Linked DNA regions of Danio rerio. The protein of the gene in region 3 binds, or shares a complex with, the protein of the main gene of each other region. Links are inferred from orthologs where the notes say so. Each region holds a gene or a part of one and is shown on either strand. Other genes may lie near its edges.

Region 1 (4,159 bases), on a different chromosome or scaffold from region 3:
GCATCAATGAACGTTACAACATCATCCTTGTTACCTACAGCGATGGTCTGACCATCAGGACTCCAGCAAATGTTGATATTCTCCCCTAAACATAGTCAGACAATCAATAAACCAATAAATAATATAATCTCACAAGAATAAAACATATAACATTGAAAGCCATAGCTCAATCCTCAAGAGTTTCTAAAGTTGAGTTTATTTTGTCTGTTAAAAACAACAGAAGATGTTTAGAAAAATGTTGGAAATTGCCATCCATAAAATGAAAAACAAATACTACGGTAGTCAATAAGTAACGATTTCCAATGTTCTTTAAAATGTTATATTTTGTGTTCAATGGTGGGTAAATGATGAGAGAGTATTCATTTTTGTGTAAACTATCACTTTAAGCTTTAGAGCTTCACCTTTTGTGCTGACTGTGGCCATGCATTTGGTGGTCCGCACATCCCAGATGCGGATGGTCTTGTCTCCTGATGCAGTAACGAACAGATCAGGGTTGGTGGGATGCCAGCACAGCTGATCCACACTGTCTCCATGCCCACGGTAGTTGTTTTCCTTCACCTAATACATATGATAATACATGAGCTAGATCACATCTAGTCAAGACAAATAAATTGTAAAATAATAAACCGCATTGTAGCCAATGCTGTGAATATTAACCGTTTTTTCTGATATAGAATAAGTATAGTAATGTTTTTGGCAAATGGATGACCTATAAAAGCTTGTTATTGCAGCTAAAACATAATTAATATGCATAATGTCAATGAAATGATAAGTAATTTTGCAGACATTAAATTAATTAGTAACTTGATTAGGTATTTGCCATTGACTTCTGTACAGGTCTGTCATTGAGATGTCACAATTGTCACAAGATGTCAGTTTTCACAATGTATTCCGATTGTGACAATGTTTATAAACTGGTAGTAATTCATTAGCTACCGATTATCATTAGAAACTAGTTCTTATTCATTAAGTACATACTGAAAAGATACTAGTACATACAACGCCATCTACTCATGTTTATTATATCTTTATTTAACTAGCACATGTTTAATTGAACACTTATACAGTCATCCAAAATAGTCAAAATGTGACAAGTAAAAATAAAAAATAAAAATCAGTAGTGACTCGTAATACTAGTAGCAACTCATAACAACTACATAAAAATACTTGTGCCAAATAAATGAGTACTAGGATACAATAAATAACTACTAGCATCTGTTAAAGAGGTACTTGTAATAAGAATGAGTTTCTAATAAATGATGGAGTATCTAATAAGTAAATACTGCTTTCTAAATAAAAACAAAGCATTTATTAGATATGACAGTACAACTTTACAATAAGGTTTCATTAGATAATGAGGTTACTATAATGAAAAACAACAAACAGTATTTATACATCTTTGTTAATGTTTTTTACTGAAAATAAGCCTCATTGTTGGTTCTTGCCAACTCACAGTGCATTTACTAATGTTAACAAGTGCTGTTTTGCATCAGGAGATGAGCGCTGTTTTGCATCAGGAGATGAGAGCTGTTTTAGATTTTTGTAGGCATGGGATTGTAGGTATAAGATTCTGACAGTAAGATAACCTTGGACAAAAATATCCCGGTTTGACGGTATTGTGATTACTGTTCTAAAATATATTATTTTTAAATGTCAGGGTAAAAGACTAAAAACTTTTTCCCCCTTTGAACACAATATATTTTATTTTGAGAAAGACTTTAAATATTTTAAAACAGTAAACATGTAAAACAAGTTTGCATATCTTTTCTGCTGGACACACTGTTGTCCTAAAACAACAACAACAAAAACCATAAATTAAAAAAAATCGTACATATACCATAGGAATGGTATAGAAGAAAATGTTGGAGGTTTTAAAACCTTGACTTTTCCTAACCGTGGTATACCTTGAAAACGGTTATTGTCCAATGCCTGAATGGAAGTGCTGTACAAGTTTTGTTTATTATTAGGTTATGCTGGTAAATTAGTTAACATTATCAATGGAACCTTATTGTAGAGCGTGATCACTTTGTGTGTCTAACAATTATACACTAGTACATATTGAAAAAGCCCTTATTTCCAATAAAATCCACCCAAATATCAGTACTTGCAGAATAACTAGTCATAGTAAAAATATGTACTAGACAATTATTAAAAACCTCACATTCCAATAACAGACTGCGATAGAAGTAGTTACTTGACACTTTTGAAATAAATACTAGTATGAAATAAATGAGAACAAGTGTGTGATGATGAGTAAATAGTATTTAAACAAAAATATACTATTCATACGTGTCTAATTAATGAGTAGTACCTATTTAATAGCTACGAGTGTCTAATTTATTGTCTAAAATGAATCTAAAATTCATCTAATGAAAACTAACTTGTAGTAGTAGCTAAATAATAACTGTTGGCTAAATATCAACAAGTGTACTGAATACGTATCAGTACTTAATGAAAAAGACACACATATCTAAAAATAGGTATTAACGTTAGTAGCATAAAACTGATACTAGTTTAGTTTACAGATTAAATGTTAAACAGCTTGTTCTACGCAGAACGTGGTTTATAAATTAAATATATGTTTTGGACAACGAAGGATGATGGAGAAGACAAAGCTCACCAGTCGGTCTTTTTCCAGGACAAATACGCTGGCAGTTTTGTCAAACGAACCGGACGCCAGTCGTTTTCCATCACAGCTCCAGGCCACCGAGTGCACTTTAGCACTGTGAGCCGGGAACTCTCTGCTTTTATTGTTATTCCTGAACACCTCCTGCATCTCCTGATAGTACGAGGACGCCATGCTTGAAGTTCTGCTTCGTCGCGTATTTAAGCTTAATCTGTGGCATTGCGTTACTTACCGACACCTAGTGTACGGGAGTGCAATTACATAATATTGTTTAAAAAAGTCTGATACAAATAACTTTCTTTTCTTTTTTTAGTTTTATTATTGTCAGGGTAACAATAACATCATCATACATTTGTTACAAAGAGAGCACATGAGTTTTACAGAGAAGTAAAACATCAAATAAGCACATACAAGGGAAAAAATTTACTAAAAAACAAACAACACATATTATAAAATCATGTGTTTTAAGGAAGCAATAGTTTTAATGTACTGTTGAAGTTCCTTTTCAAAAATATTAAAACAAAATATAGCCTAGAGTGAGAGAATTTACAGCTGTGTATATGGAATTTAGCAAGGATTAAAAGGAGATTAATTATGAAACACTCCTTACTTTTATTATCGGGAATATTGAAAAAACCCAACAGGATATCCTTAAAAGATAACACGAATTAGTATTTTGCAATGAATAACCAAAAAAAAGTTCAATCCAAAAGCATTGTGCATGAGGGCAAATAAAAAACAAATATATGATCAGCAGTTTCACTAGGGATACAAATCTTAAATTTAAAATGATGATATAAAATGAAAAAAAAATCACAAAAGTAAACATTATGAGATAAACAGTTAACAGTGAAGAAATTTTATTATTTTTTTTTGTAAAAATTGCTATTAGGTTAAAAAAATGACAAAATATGAAAATGTGCTAATTTGTTATGAATGTGATAAATAAGTTGAAATGATGGGGTAAACATTGTGAGATGAAAATCCTAAATCAAATAATGGTCAATTAAGAGAAGGTCAAAATTATATTATATCTCATAAAAATGAAACAAAAGGTTTGTATTATGCCAAAAGTTCATATAAGTGTGAAGTACAATCATAGGTCTACCAAATCTAAGTAAACTAGGCTAGGCTATAGGCAAAAAGCTTTGAAAACATTGAGATAAATAAAAATGTCAAAACTGTCAAATGTCAAAATCATGGAATATGAGCTATATATAATTTAAGCCAAAAGCCTCATTTATAAATCAGATCATTTAAACTTCAGTCAGTGGCCTACTGTGTTTTATGTTGTTTGTTAAATTGTCTTCTCGTGTAATGGAAGAACTCAAAGTCAGGTCACTGTGGTAGGCTACTTTGGATGGTTGTAGGAACTTTAGAAAGTCAGGAGTAGCTACATATAAAAATAAAGTTTATTTTCTGTGTACTTTGTGTAAGTAGTTTTGTCATCAGTGTTTTTGGTAAAGAGGACATCAGTTCGCGGGCAGAGTCCATGGTCAATCCACGTACAGCGCTGACTCCCACTGACCACAC
Region 2 (4,070 bases), on a different chromosome or scaffold from region 3:
AGTAAGCTCAAACAAAATGACCTTTCCTTTTTAAACAAAAAAAAATACAAAAAAATAATAACTATAAAAATACAGAACACTCAGCAAAATAATGCCAAATTCAAACTGCATGATTTTAGCCCTGATTTTTGACTCGACAACAGGTTTCAAGAAATTGCAAAAAATGCCTGAAATCACAGGCAAATAGGTACTCATTCACGCAAGTATCAACCACACAGTATGAACTATCAAAGACACAATCGGAGAGAATCGGTGATGTGTCGTAGACACATGTGAGATATTCAGTGTGCTAAACAGCTGGATCTGTCGACGATTCAAATCATGCCGTGTGAAATCTGCAGGCCAGCGGGAGGTTGGGGAACAAGTTAAAAGTGCTTCTATTTTGTCTATTTGGACCCCAAAAAATGGAGGAACAACTAGTGTAAATTTGGCAGGAGCACCCGTTTCTGTTTGAAGTGTCATCTGAGCAACCGGGTCGAAAAAGAAAAAGTTGAGGAGAAATTGCTAATTCCTATTAAAGGCCAAGTGAGCAAAATAAGTAAATTTTCTACCCCACTAAAGGCTTTATTCTCATTATATAGTTCATGACAAAAGATATACTACATTATTTCCATGTCACTTCTTCTGTGCTTGGTTTTGAGATGTAGTTTGTAGACCGGGACAAAGTTGTCGCCAATTCTTCCTATTCTAAATCATACAGTGTGAACCCCCCGTTGCCAATCCATCTTGCAGGGTAAACAAAGCAGCGATGAAATACTACCCCCGACAGTCATACAGGGTGAAAACATCTGTGACATGACTACTTTGAAAATCATGCAGTCTGAACTCGCCATAAAAATCACTGATAAAAGGCAGATTGAAAAGTTCTGATTGAAAATCAGAATACAAAACAAAATACTGCACTTTTGAATCCAACTTGATTCGTGAACAAGCTGAATTTTATCAGTTAGCCAGTTAAATCAATTCACAAATTGCACTGAACAATTAATTTGCGAATTGGATAGACATGTTTACGAGTCAACAAATAACTGATTTGAATGATGTTTTCAGTCTGAGTATCTCCCTTGAATGATTCACTGATTCAAATTATTTGATCAAAGAGAGTCTACGATAAACAATTCACAGATTTAACACACTGATCTGAATTTGGTGTAGTTTTGTAGCCACCAGAGCAGAAATGAAGGCTGCAGCACTCTGTATCATTTTCTATTATGCAAGGTTATTTTGCGATATTAGAAATAATTGAAAAAGCTTACACAAACACCCACCCTTTTATCCTGTAGGCATGGGATGATAACCGTTTTCAAGGTATACTGCGCATTGGAAAAGTAAAGTCCTAAATTTCTGCTTTACTCTTGCTACGGTATAAATAGAGTTCAGAACAACAGTATCTCCAGCAGAAAAGATATCCAAAGAGGTTGTTTTAAATTGGAAAGAAATCAATGATTCATTTTGAATTATTTAGCCTGGCATATTCACTGCTCCAAAATACTTTAAATCTTTATCAAAGTAAAATATAGTGTTCAAAGTTTTTGTTTTTACCCAGACATTTAAAAAGAATATAATTCAGAGCAGTAATCACAATACCATGTGTCCGTGATATTTTTATCCAAGGTTATAATATTGTCAGAAACATATACCGGCCCATGCCTAATATCCTGCCCTCAAAGTAATATTTAATATAGTCAAAAGATGTAGATTAAAACAATGAGTGCAAACAGGAATGTGTCTCCCTTGTCAGCATATAATCCAATCAACCCAAAAGAAAAAAGCAGGGAAGTCAACAAGAAGTCTTACCAATATCGGTATAGATTCCTTCATAATTCTCCATTTCTTTCAGGTTCATGTTGTACACAAGCAAGGTTTTCCCCATGGAGAATTCACACTGAGCCAAGGACATCATCATTCTTTGATACTGAGACATCCTGCAGACACATATGAATGATAAAGTAATTACACCCAAGGTCGTGGTAACTAATCAGTGGAATATTTTAAAGGAAAAGAAAAAAAAAATCTTATCAAGTCAGGTATATAAAGTTAAACCAGAATGTAAATTACCCCTCCTCTGGTGAGAAACTGGAGTGGCACCATTTGGTGAAGCTCTTCATGAGCACATTAATGCGTCTGTCATCTCCAGCTCCATCTCCATCGATCAGAAGACGCTTCCGAATAACCTCATCTGTGAGGGAGGAGACATAGATATTATTTAGTCTAAATATAGGTCTAAATAGCATAGCACAGATATTATACTGTAAATTGTATTCAGTGACTAAATGTGGAACAATATATATATATATATATATATATATATATATATATATATATATATATATATATATATATATATATATATATATATTCTGCTTGATTATTTTTGAAACAAAGTAAATCTCTAAATTCAGCAAAAAATCAGTTTATTTTCCAACCTTGATGCTTGATTTAACTGATTGATCCAACATTGAAAAGTGTCAGAAGGGTGCCATCAAATTTTCATATTATCGTATTTACATATTATACTTACCAATATATTTTATATCACTGTAATGCCTATCCAAAACCAAAGTCAGCGTAATAAATTATACTTATACATCTTGTAACTTGTTTTAGTTAATCAGTTTTAGCATGTGGCTAACTAACTGTTAGCTAAGACTCCTCATGTAGACATTTCAAAGGAGTTCGTTTAGTTTCCAGGAAATAAAAACATGGACGTACGCTACTGTAATAATTCCTTCAGATTTGCTACATAAATTACAATTACATGATAGTTAAGAAAAATAAAACAAAGGAAAATCTTACCATCAGTAATGCTACCCATTCTCCAGCAGGCTAACTGGACTGTTAGAAAAAACTTTATTGTCAGGCGCGCGCGGACACGCAAGGCATCAGCGCCCCGCCTCTGTTGCGAAGCAAACCCGCCGAGCTCACAACAGTTTTCTGAACGGCTAGCTTTTACTTTATTATTACAAAGTCATTTAAATGTTTTGCTGAAAACTCGTTTTAGACTAGTCGACTGATAGCGTGTCTTTCAGAAATACTGTATTAGTAGGTAGTTAGTTTAGTTTTTGACAGTATTGAGAAATGAGATTCATTTTCGCGAATCGGTTCATTTGAACAGTTCGTTTTAAAGTGTGGTTCCACAAGACTCGTCAATTTGTTTGAGCAATATCGTCAGTTCAGTTATGAATCATGATTTAGCTTTTTAAAAATACATTAGGAATCTGAAAAAGTTTTAAGTTAAAAACTATTGTCTAGTGTCATTTATTAGGCAAATAACAATCTAGCCAGCACATTCAATTTCTTCAGTCAGAATTTGGCCATTTCAATAATAAAAAATAATAATAATAAAAGCTTTACAATTTTCTAGCCTTACATGTTAAAAAGTGCATTTGAAAATTAAGGATAACAATAGCCTAATTAGTATTCAAATCAATTTTACTATAGGCCACCCTTTTTATTGCTCATTTTTAGTTTCAAGATAAGTTCCAAGATTTAGAACAAAAGTTACTTGTAAAACGTTTTCTCTGTTTACAAACAGTAGCGAAAGATGACGTCACTTATGTCAGATTGTGTGATTTCCTACACAGCTAGATGTTGATCATCAAAAACATTTGTTAGCATTGACCAAGACTGATTTGCTGAAGTCACACCGAAGCAACAGCCAACAGAGGATTATGCCTTTTTAATTGGTTATTTTTACTATTTATGATGGCATGTAGCAGTCAAAATACGACATATGAGCTCATGAATGGGAAAAATTCTGCACATTTGTCAGTAAGGGTTTTTTTTTCTGAACCCCCTCTGGCTACATAGGCTACATATAACATAGTATATTATGAAATAATAAGACGTTTTAAAATCCATCTTTCTTTTGCTTCGTCAGTTCAGTTTGTGCCATTATGATTCAGTTTATGAATACAAAGCTTTTTACGTAGATATGAAAATAATTCAACATGAATTAAAATGTGAATTTAAATATTTTAAATTTGCTTGACTGAGAATGAGGTAAAGTTGATTTTAGGACATCTTGGACATTCTCCATAATAATTTTATTATTATATAATAATTATATT
Region 3 (4,062 bases):
TATTTCCTTGCGCACACACACACAGTACCCAAGTTTACGCATCTATCTACCTATTGAGAGAAATGCAGCATGCACAATTTAAACATTCAAATGATTTTTTTTATTACCAAATAAGCAGAAACAAAAGTTATACATTTTTTAATAAGCATACATAAACCACTTTTGTATCTACTTTTTAGACTAAAATTAAAACATGTTGGAGAAGAGAAAAAAAGAAGAAAAAAAGTGAATACCACATGATCATTCATGTTAATGATGTCTAGAAAGAGGGCATCACAGTGGCACAGTAGGTAGCACAATCACTTCACAGCAAGGTCCCTGTTTCAAGCTTCAGCTGAGTCAGTTGGCATTTTTGTGTGGCGTTTGCATGTTCTCCCCATGTTCACATGGGTTTCCTCCGGGTGCTCTCGTTTGCCCCAGAAGTCCAAAGACATGCGGTACAGGTGAATTGGGTAAGCTAAATTGGCCGCAGAGTATGCGTGTATATGTATGGATGGATGTTTCCCGGTGATGAAAATGAATGTCTAGAATGATAATGTCCTCCAGAGCACAAGATCTTATTAGCCAAGATTTATTCGATGCCAAAAGAAAAAAGAAAAAAAAGTTTGTGGGTTACAATATAGTTAAAACATTTTTTGACAAAAACAAGACTGTATGTAATGAATAAAAGTTCTACCTTAAAAAATACTAAATAAAAATATAATAATAAAAAGGTAAGTGACGTGTAGAACATTACAGTCATTAACATCTGTTCATTTACACAAGCCACATTTTTACCACAGAGTCATCAAATGTCATTTGGAGTTCACTGTTCACACATTTAGGCCATTTTCAGAATTTCAGCCAAAAATAGCAGAGGTACAATCTCTTATTACAGTTCAATCAACAACAAAATTCCTTCACTTAACAGCCAACATTTTTCCTAACAGGCCCTCTGTTTTAGAACTATAACTTGTGATGAGGATTTGTGATTGTATTCAGAAGCCGCGAGTGAAAACTCTCAAATCTCTGAATGTAACTGGGATAAATTCATAACTTTGTACAAACTTCAAGTCTGAACGCCTTAAAATGTAAATGTCTTAGGGAGTGTCCAACAGCAGCGGAAGCTTAAACGGTACTGGATGATTATGTCATCGATCAGTCTATTATTTGCAGATCTTTGGGAGCTGCTGTGTCTCAGCTCAACAGGGTCTACTCCATACTCTCAGGATCTGCCTGGGCCATATACGCATCCAACTCTGCATCCAGATGGCCTTTGGTTTTAGACATGTACGCATCAAGCTGGTTGTCCAACTGCTCGCGTGTGACGATGGGACGACCTGCTCCTCTGCCTCTGCCACGTCCACGACCCCTTCCAGCAAACCCTCCACGGCCTCTCATACCTCCACGGCCTAAGAGAGAACGAAATGCTTTAGTATGGTGAGATGGAAAATGCTTTTTGTATGGGTTTCACTGATTAGAGCAAAACTGAAAACACTACTAGCAGGGTTCTTACACCTTTTCCAACTTCAAATTCCAGCACTTTTCAAGCACTTTCAAGGTGCATTTGCATGCTTTTCCAGCACCTAATAGTAATAATTAATTGCACTTATACATGTTGTATGTACTTTTTCACATTTAAATACATTGTGCTACTTTAAAAACCACACGATATGACATTTCAACTTAAATTGAGTACTTTAGAGCATAGATTTATTGGGATAGTTCACCCAAAAGTGATTAAAAAATAAATAAAAAAATGTTCAGTTATTGGGTGAAGTATGTTTTTAAGTTTGGCCTCTTTCTACCTAAAGTTGATATCTTAAGAAATGAGCTTACAGTCAGATTTTGTTTGGGTGTAGTACCAAACTTTCAGGACCAGTCACTATTTTTTTTTTTTACAGTCTTTGGTTTTGCATTTCAGGTGCAAAAGATGCATTCTGGATGAATGTCTCCAAAATACGTATGAAGCTAATAGTGCCAAAACTATCCGAATTTGAATTGTTAATTTGAATTCCTAAAAACGTAAAACTTTATTTTTACATACCCAATATCTGCAGTCTTATTTTTACATACCCAATATCTGCATGAATTCAGAACCCAAAAAAAATCTGAAGTTTAAAAATGTCTATAAAAATCTGACTTCAAATATTAAGTTTTCAGATGTTCAATAATCAAGTTAAGAAATACAAATTCAAAACTTTTTTTAATAGGACATTCAGATTCAGAATGTTTTGGCTTATTATTAGCTCCATAAATACGCGCATGCGGTGAACATTTTGCAATGAAAACTGGTCGCACGACAACAATTTATGCACTAGCACACATGCTTCCAAATATATTTCGAGGTCACATAGATAAAATCGTGCGCATATGCAACCAAAACGGTCACAATTTTGAGCCCTTTAAGTTCAAATTCAAGCAGGTTCAAGCACTTTGTTCAAAACACAAGCACTTTTCTAACCTTAAAAACACTATATTAAAAATCAAGCATTTTCCAGGATTTCCAGCACCCGTAAGAACCCTGTACTTGGCAGAATTGTGCTTAATATTTCTCACCTCTTCCTCCAGGCATTCCACGTGCTGCACCTCGACCTCCTAGAGCTCCTCGTCCTGGAGCTCCTCCCCGATGACGCATCCCTCGGCGGAAACCCATGCGTCCAGGACCACCTCTACCTCTCATCTGACCTGCACCTAGGAAAAAAAAAAAAAAAGAGCAATCTTTTCACAAGAAGAAAAGAAAAAACACTTGTGGGATGCATGCAATAGTTCTCTTTAAGCAGGTCTGATCATATATATATATATATATATATATATATATATATATATATATATATATATATATATATATATATATATATATATATATATATATATAGAGAGAGAGAGAGAGAGAGAGAGAGAGAGAGAGAGAGAGAGAGAGAGAGAGAGAGAGAGAGAGAGAGAGAGAGAGAGAGAGAGAGAGAGAGAGAGAGAGAGAGAGAGAGAGAGAGAGATTTTGCTGCTCTGCCAGTTAAAGCACATTTGCGAACGTTCAATGACAATCTCAGTCAATTGTAATCATTTGTTATGATTCAATTTGAAATATCCACAACCATCATAGAGCCCCAGGGATTGGAGAAAGTGTGGGTTGATCTCACCCTGGTCCAAGAGCTATAACAGGGTATATGCAAGAATCCTAAAAGGTAATTTCAATACCTTTTTAAAACGGTTTAAAAGACCTTCTCGGAATATTTTAAGACCTCATCACTACTGCAAGTGCTAATCAGTATCAAACCTTTAACTTAAAGTTGCAGTAGGTGATCTTCTACAATGCTAACAGCTTAGCATAAATCTCTGAATCACAGTGCCTCCCCTGCCGTCTAAGAGCTACGCCTCCTGAAACACGAGCACCGCAAAAGAACCCTCTCTCATGTGTTAAAAACAACTAGTGCTTGTCCGGCGGCGTGCAAGCCAAACTGACATGCGATTTTAGAGGGAATATTTAGAGTTGCATGGTAAACAATATAGGGAGAGACTAGGCGTTTAGCTGTATTTACTTGTGTTTAGTTGTTAAACTAAATAAAATGTACATCATCGATGCTGTAAAAGGTCTCTTATGAAACTGAAAATAGTCTCATCAGTCCTTCATCGAAATATTTTAGTAGCTGAACAACATTTCTGTTAAGATTTAACCCATTTGTAACAACGTTACATCAGCTTTGCGTGAAGTTAAAACAGTTTTAAAACAGAACATTACTTGTCTAAGAGAAATCTTTCAGACATGTTGTCATCCTTTCTCCAGCATGCAAAGGTAACTCCAATACTGATTCAGGTTTTTAAAAAGTTTTGATTCAGCATGTTTTTACCGATCTCAGTCGGCGGAGATGCGTACAAACAGCTGCGCAGTTGTTCAAATCTGCATTTGCTTGCAAAGAGATTGTGCTACTTATCGGAATTGAGAGATGTCGGTCGGACTCCATTTAATAGGATGAACATTTTTTTGTTTTATGCCTTACCCAAAATATAAAAATACATATAAATACATTTAGATCATTTACTGTAATCATTACTATTAGACTGTGAAGAGACTTTGAACCAGCA
Region 4 (3,568 bases), on a different chromosome or scaffold from region 3:
ATTCACACTGCGTGACTATCTGTTGCATGAACAAGCACCTATTTGCCTCCAATTAATAAAAATTATTTGCCTCCTGTTGGTTAATGAAAAAGCAGAGCTAAAGCATGCAGTGTGGACTACGCATAAATTGCTGTATTTTAAAAAGTTTTTGGATTTTCACACAAGGATTTTTCTCTTTTTGATTGGGTCTATAAAGAAAAACAAAGAATATGGCCAATAAGTTCAATAAGATAAGGTGCAATGATAAATCCTAGTGGGGTAGGAACAAAACACATACAGGAACAGAGGATTGTTAAAAAAATAAAATAAGTAAACAACAAATAAGGTAAACATTTTAGTTTAGGTACCCATTTTTACTATTAACTTCTGGCTTATAAGATAATAGCTTTTTAGTACTTAATGCAATCCCTAATCCTACAAATTCCTAAAACTCAAATAATACTTTACTATTACTGAGCAACAAATTAGTACTTTAACTGAGTTACATGCCTTAATGGTTTGTTAATAGCAGGAATTGTACCTTAAAATAAAGTGACCAAAACAAGATCTTCATTTAGAAGGTACATCTAATCATCTTAGGTCTACAACGTCAACTTTAAGCCACAAGAACTGTTCAAACCAAGTGATAAATAAAAAAATAAAAAAATAAAATAAAAACTGATGTGACTCCTAAGGAATATTAACTCTGTAAACTTGCATTCTGGATTCGGACAGAAATAACAACAGCTTTAAAATCACCAACAACCCCTGTAAATGGTGAAAACCCCCTATGTCACCGCTGAGAAATGATTAGCATCTGAATATTATTTCAGTCTAACTGTGGTCCTATGTGGTCCTAATGGAATGACTGCATTTTGCCCACAAAACTTTCAGCACATTAAAATGAAAATGTTTGGGAAAACGAAAATAAGCCAATATCAACTTTAGCAAATTTGGGGATAATCTAACAAAAAGGACTGAACATTCAAAATAGCTGAGAAACTTTGAAACACCAATTTAATTGTATAAAACTATTATTAGAGCTGAAAATTATGATTATAATTTTTGCGAATCAATGGCATTGTTATTTTCGGTGTTGCAGGCTGAAATATTTGGGAACCCCTGAACTAGATGACTTCAAATTTTTAGAAAAAAGCCACCCTTAAAACTTCCAAAAAAATAAATACAATTAAAACATGAAAAACTACCACCATCTCTAGATCAGGGATGGGCAAAGCCAGTCCTGGATGGCCGAGCTCCTGCAAGGTTTAGCTCCAATCCTAATCAAACACACCTGCCTATGATTTACCAGCGATCTTGAATACATTGATCAGCTTGTTCAGGTGTGTTTGATTAGTGTTGGACATCATTCTGCAGGACACAACCCTCCAGGCCTAACTTCACACATCCCTGATCTAACATCCTAAATCCCAGTGAACACTCTAAACCAGTTTGGTGAAAACACTTCTAAGTGCTGAGGCCAGATGGCGCTCGGCTCAGTTACCCCATGGCTAATGCATAGAGATCAGGCCTCTTCTCCTTCTCTTCCTGGCAGATCTTGTGAACGCGACACTCCAAAGCCTGGCCTAGGTTCAGCACCTTGGGGTACCAGGGTAGGATCTTGGTAAGCACGATCAGAATGTTGCGAATGTGGGTGTACTCACCCGTTTCTAGACAGTGAACAGATGCCTGAGGGAAAAATCAGAAGTTTAAGGATGAACAAATCAATTCAAATTATTTTATAGGCAGGCTGTAAAACATCATTACAAGAGCACAAGGCATGCTCCGTGATTACTTTATAATCTAAATAAATCTATGTTTGTCATACTGATACATGCAAGACATCATTCAAAACTGTAAAGGGTTTAAATTTATTTCTGTATGATATACTCTGCCAAAAACAGAACAATGTGCCTTTGTAAATGAATCCAGTACTATATTTTTATGTTATTATTAAACTTTTTTTCACAAAGATAGGCTACACGTGCATGCTACTGTTGTTAATACTGTCATTTGATGCTAAACAATTTAATTTCAACTTTTGAGTCAAAAATAAAACATAACAAAAAATATAAATGTAAAATGTAATGTAAAACAAAGTTCTCAAACTGTAACCTGTGGCCTTCAGTTGCTCATGCATTTGTGTGTGTATATCTGATGGCCATATAGCCAACAAGTGCTCAGATCATATATATATTTTTTTTTGATGGAGAGAGAAAAAAAAATTTGGTTTCAATAACCAGATGCATTTAGACCTGTCCAGTATCGTCTGAAATGCATCCCAGAGCACCTTTTGAAGTGGTCTGAGCAATTGGATTAATATCCATCTCCAATGCATTTCAGAGGGCATTTACGCCTGCCCATATATTGACTGAATAGCTATCTGATTAGAAAAAAATATACATGAAGTGACTGGGTGTCAACAGCCTCTTTGTTCAGGAAAAAACATTTTTGATTGGAGAGATCCACCTGGCCATGATTTAAGCATATTCAAATATGCTGTCTAGAGTCTCATCTGGTTTTTGCTAAAAAATGATTTATGGGGAACTGGAATCTTATCTTACTTCCTAAACGATACAGTTTTTAAAAAATGAGATCTTGTTTGTCTTGCCAAGAGTTGTCTGTAGACACTTTGAGTACAATTTATACATAAGCATCATGAGTAGATGCTACAGTAAGAGGTCTTAGTAAATGCCTCACTTAGCTTTAATTAGGTGCATAGGAAAAAACCTAGCACACAAGCTAAAGCTAGGCTGAATAAATTTAGTTCTTTTTAATTTAGTTAAAATGTTCCTTTAACAAAAATTCCTATTATGTGAAGCTAAGAAAAGTGGGTTCTTGCACAATACAACAAGCCTCTGGTGTGAAAGTAACAAAACAATTTTGTTATATGAGTAATAAAAATCGTATAGTAAAATACTCACTTTAGTCAACTTGTAATGCCATTTGTGGACAACATGTCGAAAATTCTCATAGTCCAATTGATCTGCTTTGTTCCCTCCGTCGAAACCACTGGCTCGGAAAATAGTCAGGAACCCTGGGTAATTACCACATTCCTAGCAAAAGAACCAATAACAAATTAAAACTAGACAAACATAATACAGTATATAATATATATATATATATATATATATATATATATATATATATATATAAAACATTAACGTATGTATTAGGGATGTAACGGTATTGTAAATACCGTCATACCGCAATATTAATTTTTTTCGATATTACCGAAGTCGCATGACTCGGTAAAACTATAGGTCTCCTGAGAAAATTTGCTCAGGCGAATGAAGCGAACGGGACGTAGCTGAAACTTCATTTCCCATCAGCCCCGGCGTGGCCATAATCCTTTGCGGTCTGTTGTCGCTACAGATCCAGTAATGCGGAAATGGAGTGTGCTGCTAGTAGCGGAGATGAAAAAAAGATGGAAATGATCGAACCTAAAGCGGGTGTTGTCGCCGCGCGCGTGCTGAATAGCGGTGCTGTCGCGCGCGTTCTGATCAGCTGTGTTGTGGCGCGCGTTCTGATCAGCTGTGTTGTGGCGCGCGTATTGTAAAGCGCCGAGGGGGGGTTGAGCGCGCATATT

The links.
Region 1: chtopa (region 3) and thoc3 share a complex: the UniProt entries of both Homo sapiens proteins name them as parts of the transcription/export (TREX) complex. The link is inferred for Danio rerio from reciprocal best matches to the Homo sapiens genes CHTOP and THOC3.
Region 2: chtopa (region 3) and thoc7 share a complex: the UniProt entries of both Homo sapiens proteins name them as parts of the transcription/export (TREX) complex. The link is inferred for Danio rerio from reciprocal best matches to the Homo sapiens genes CHTOP and THOC7.
Region 4: chtopa (region 3) and thoc2 share a complex: the UniProt entries of both Homo sapiens proteins name them as parts of the transcription/export (TREX) complex. The link is inferred for Danio rerio from reciprocal best matches to the Homo sapiens genes CHTOP and THOC2.

The regions. Positions count from the first base shown.
Region 1 is NC_133189.1:29,777,510-29,781,668, reverse strand, and holds the start of thoc3 (THO complex subunit 3), read right to left. Parts: upstream 2,813-4,159; 5' UTR 2,801-2,812; coding exon 2,621-2,800; intron 559-2,620; coding exon 402-558; intron 86-401; coding exon 1-85. UniProt on the Homo sapiens protein: Component of the THO subcomplex of the TREX complex which is thought to couple mRNA transcription, processing and nuclear export, and which specifically associates with spliced mRNA and not with unspliced pre-mRNA.
Region 2 is NC_133186.1:21,694,272-21,698,341, reverse strand, and holds the start of thoc7 (THO complex subunit 7 homolog), read right to left. Parts: upstream 2,847-4,070; 5' UTR 2,816-2,846; coding exon 2,797-2,815; intron 2,180-2,796; coding exon 2,059-2,179; intron 1,926-2,058; coding exon 1,798-1,925; intron 1-1,797. UniProt on the Homo sapiens protein: Component of the THO subcomplex of the TREX complex which is thought to couple mRNA transcription, processing and nuclear export, and which specifically associates with spliced mRNA and not with unspliced pre-mRNA.
Region 3 is NC_133194.1:26,306,894-26,310,955, forward strand, and holds the end of chtopa (chromatin target of PRMT1a), read right to left. Parts: intron 2,674-4,062; coding exon 2,539-2,673; intron 1,392-2,538; coding exon 1,192-1,391; 3' UTR 556-1,191; downstream 1-555. UniProt on the Homo sapiens protein: Plays an important role in the ligand-dependent activation of estrogen receptor target genes. May play a role in the silencing of fetal globin genes.
Region 4 is NC_133189.1:13,022,068-13,025,635, reverse strand, and holds part of thoc2 (THO complex subunit 2), read right to left. Parts: intron 3,036-3,568; coding exon 2,904-3,035; intron 1,669-2,903; coding exon 1,484-1,668; intron 1-1,483. UniProt on the Homo sapiens protein: Component of the THO subcomplex of the TREX complex which is thought to couple mRNA transcription, processing and nuclear export, and which specifically associates with spliced mRNA and not with unspliced pre-mRNA.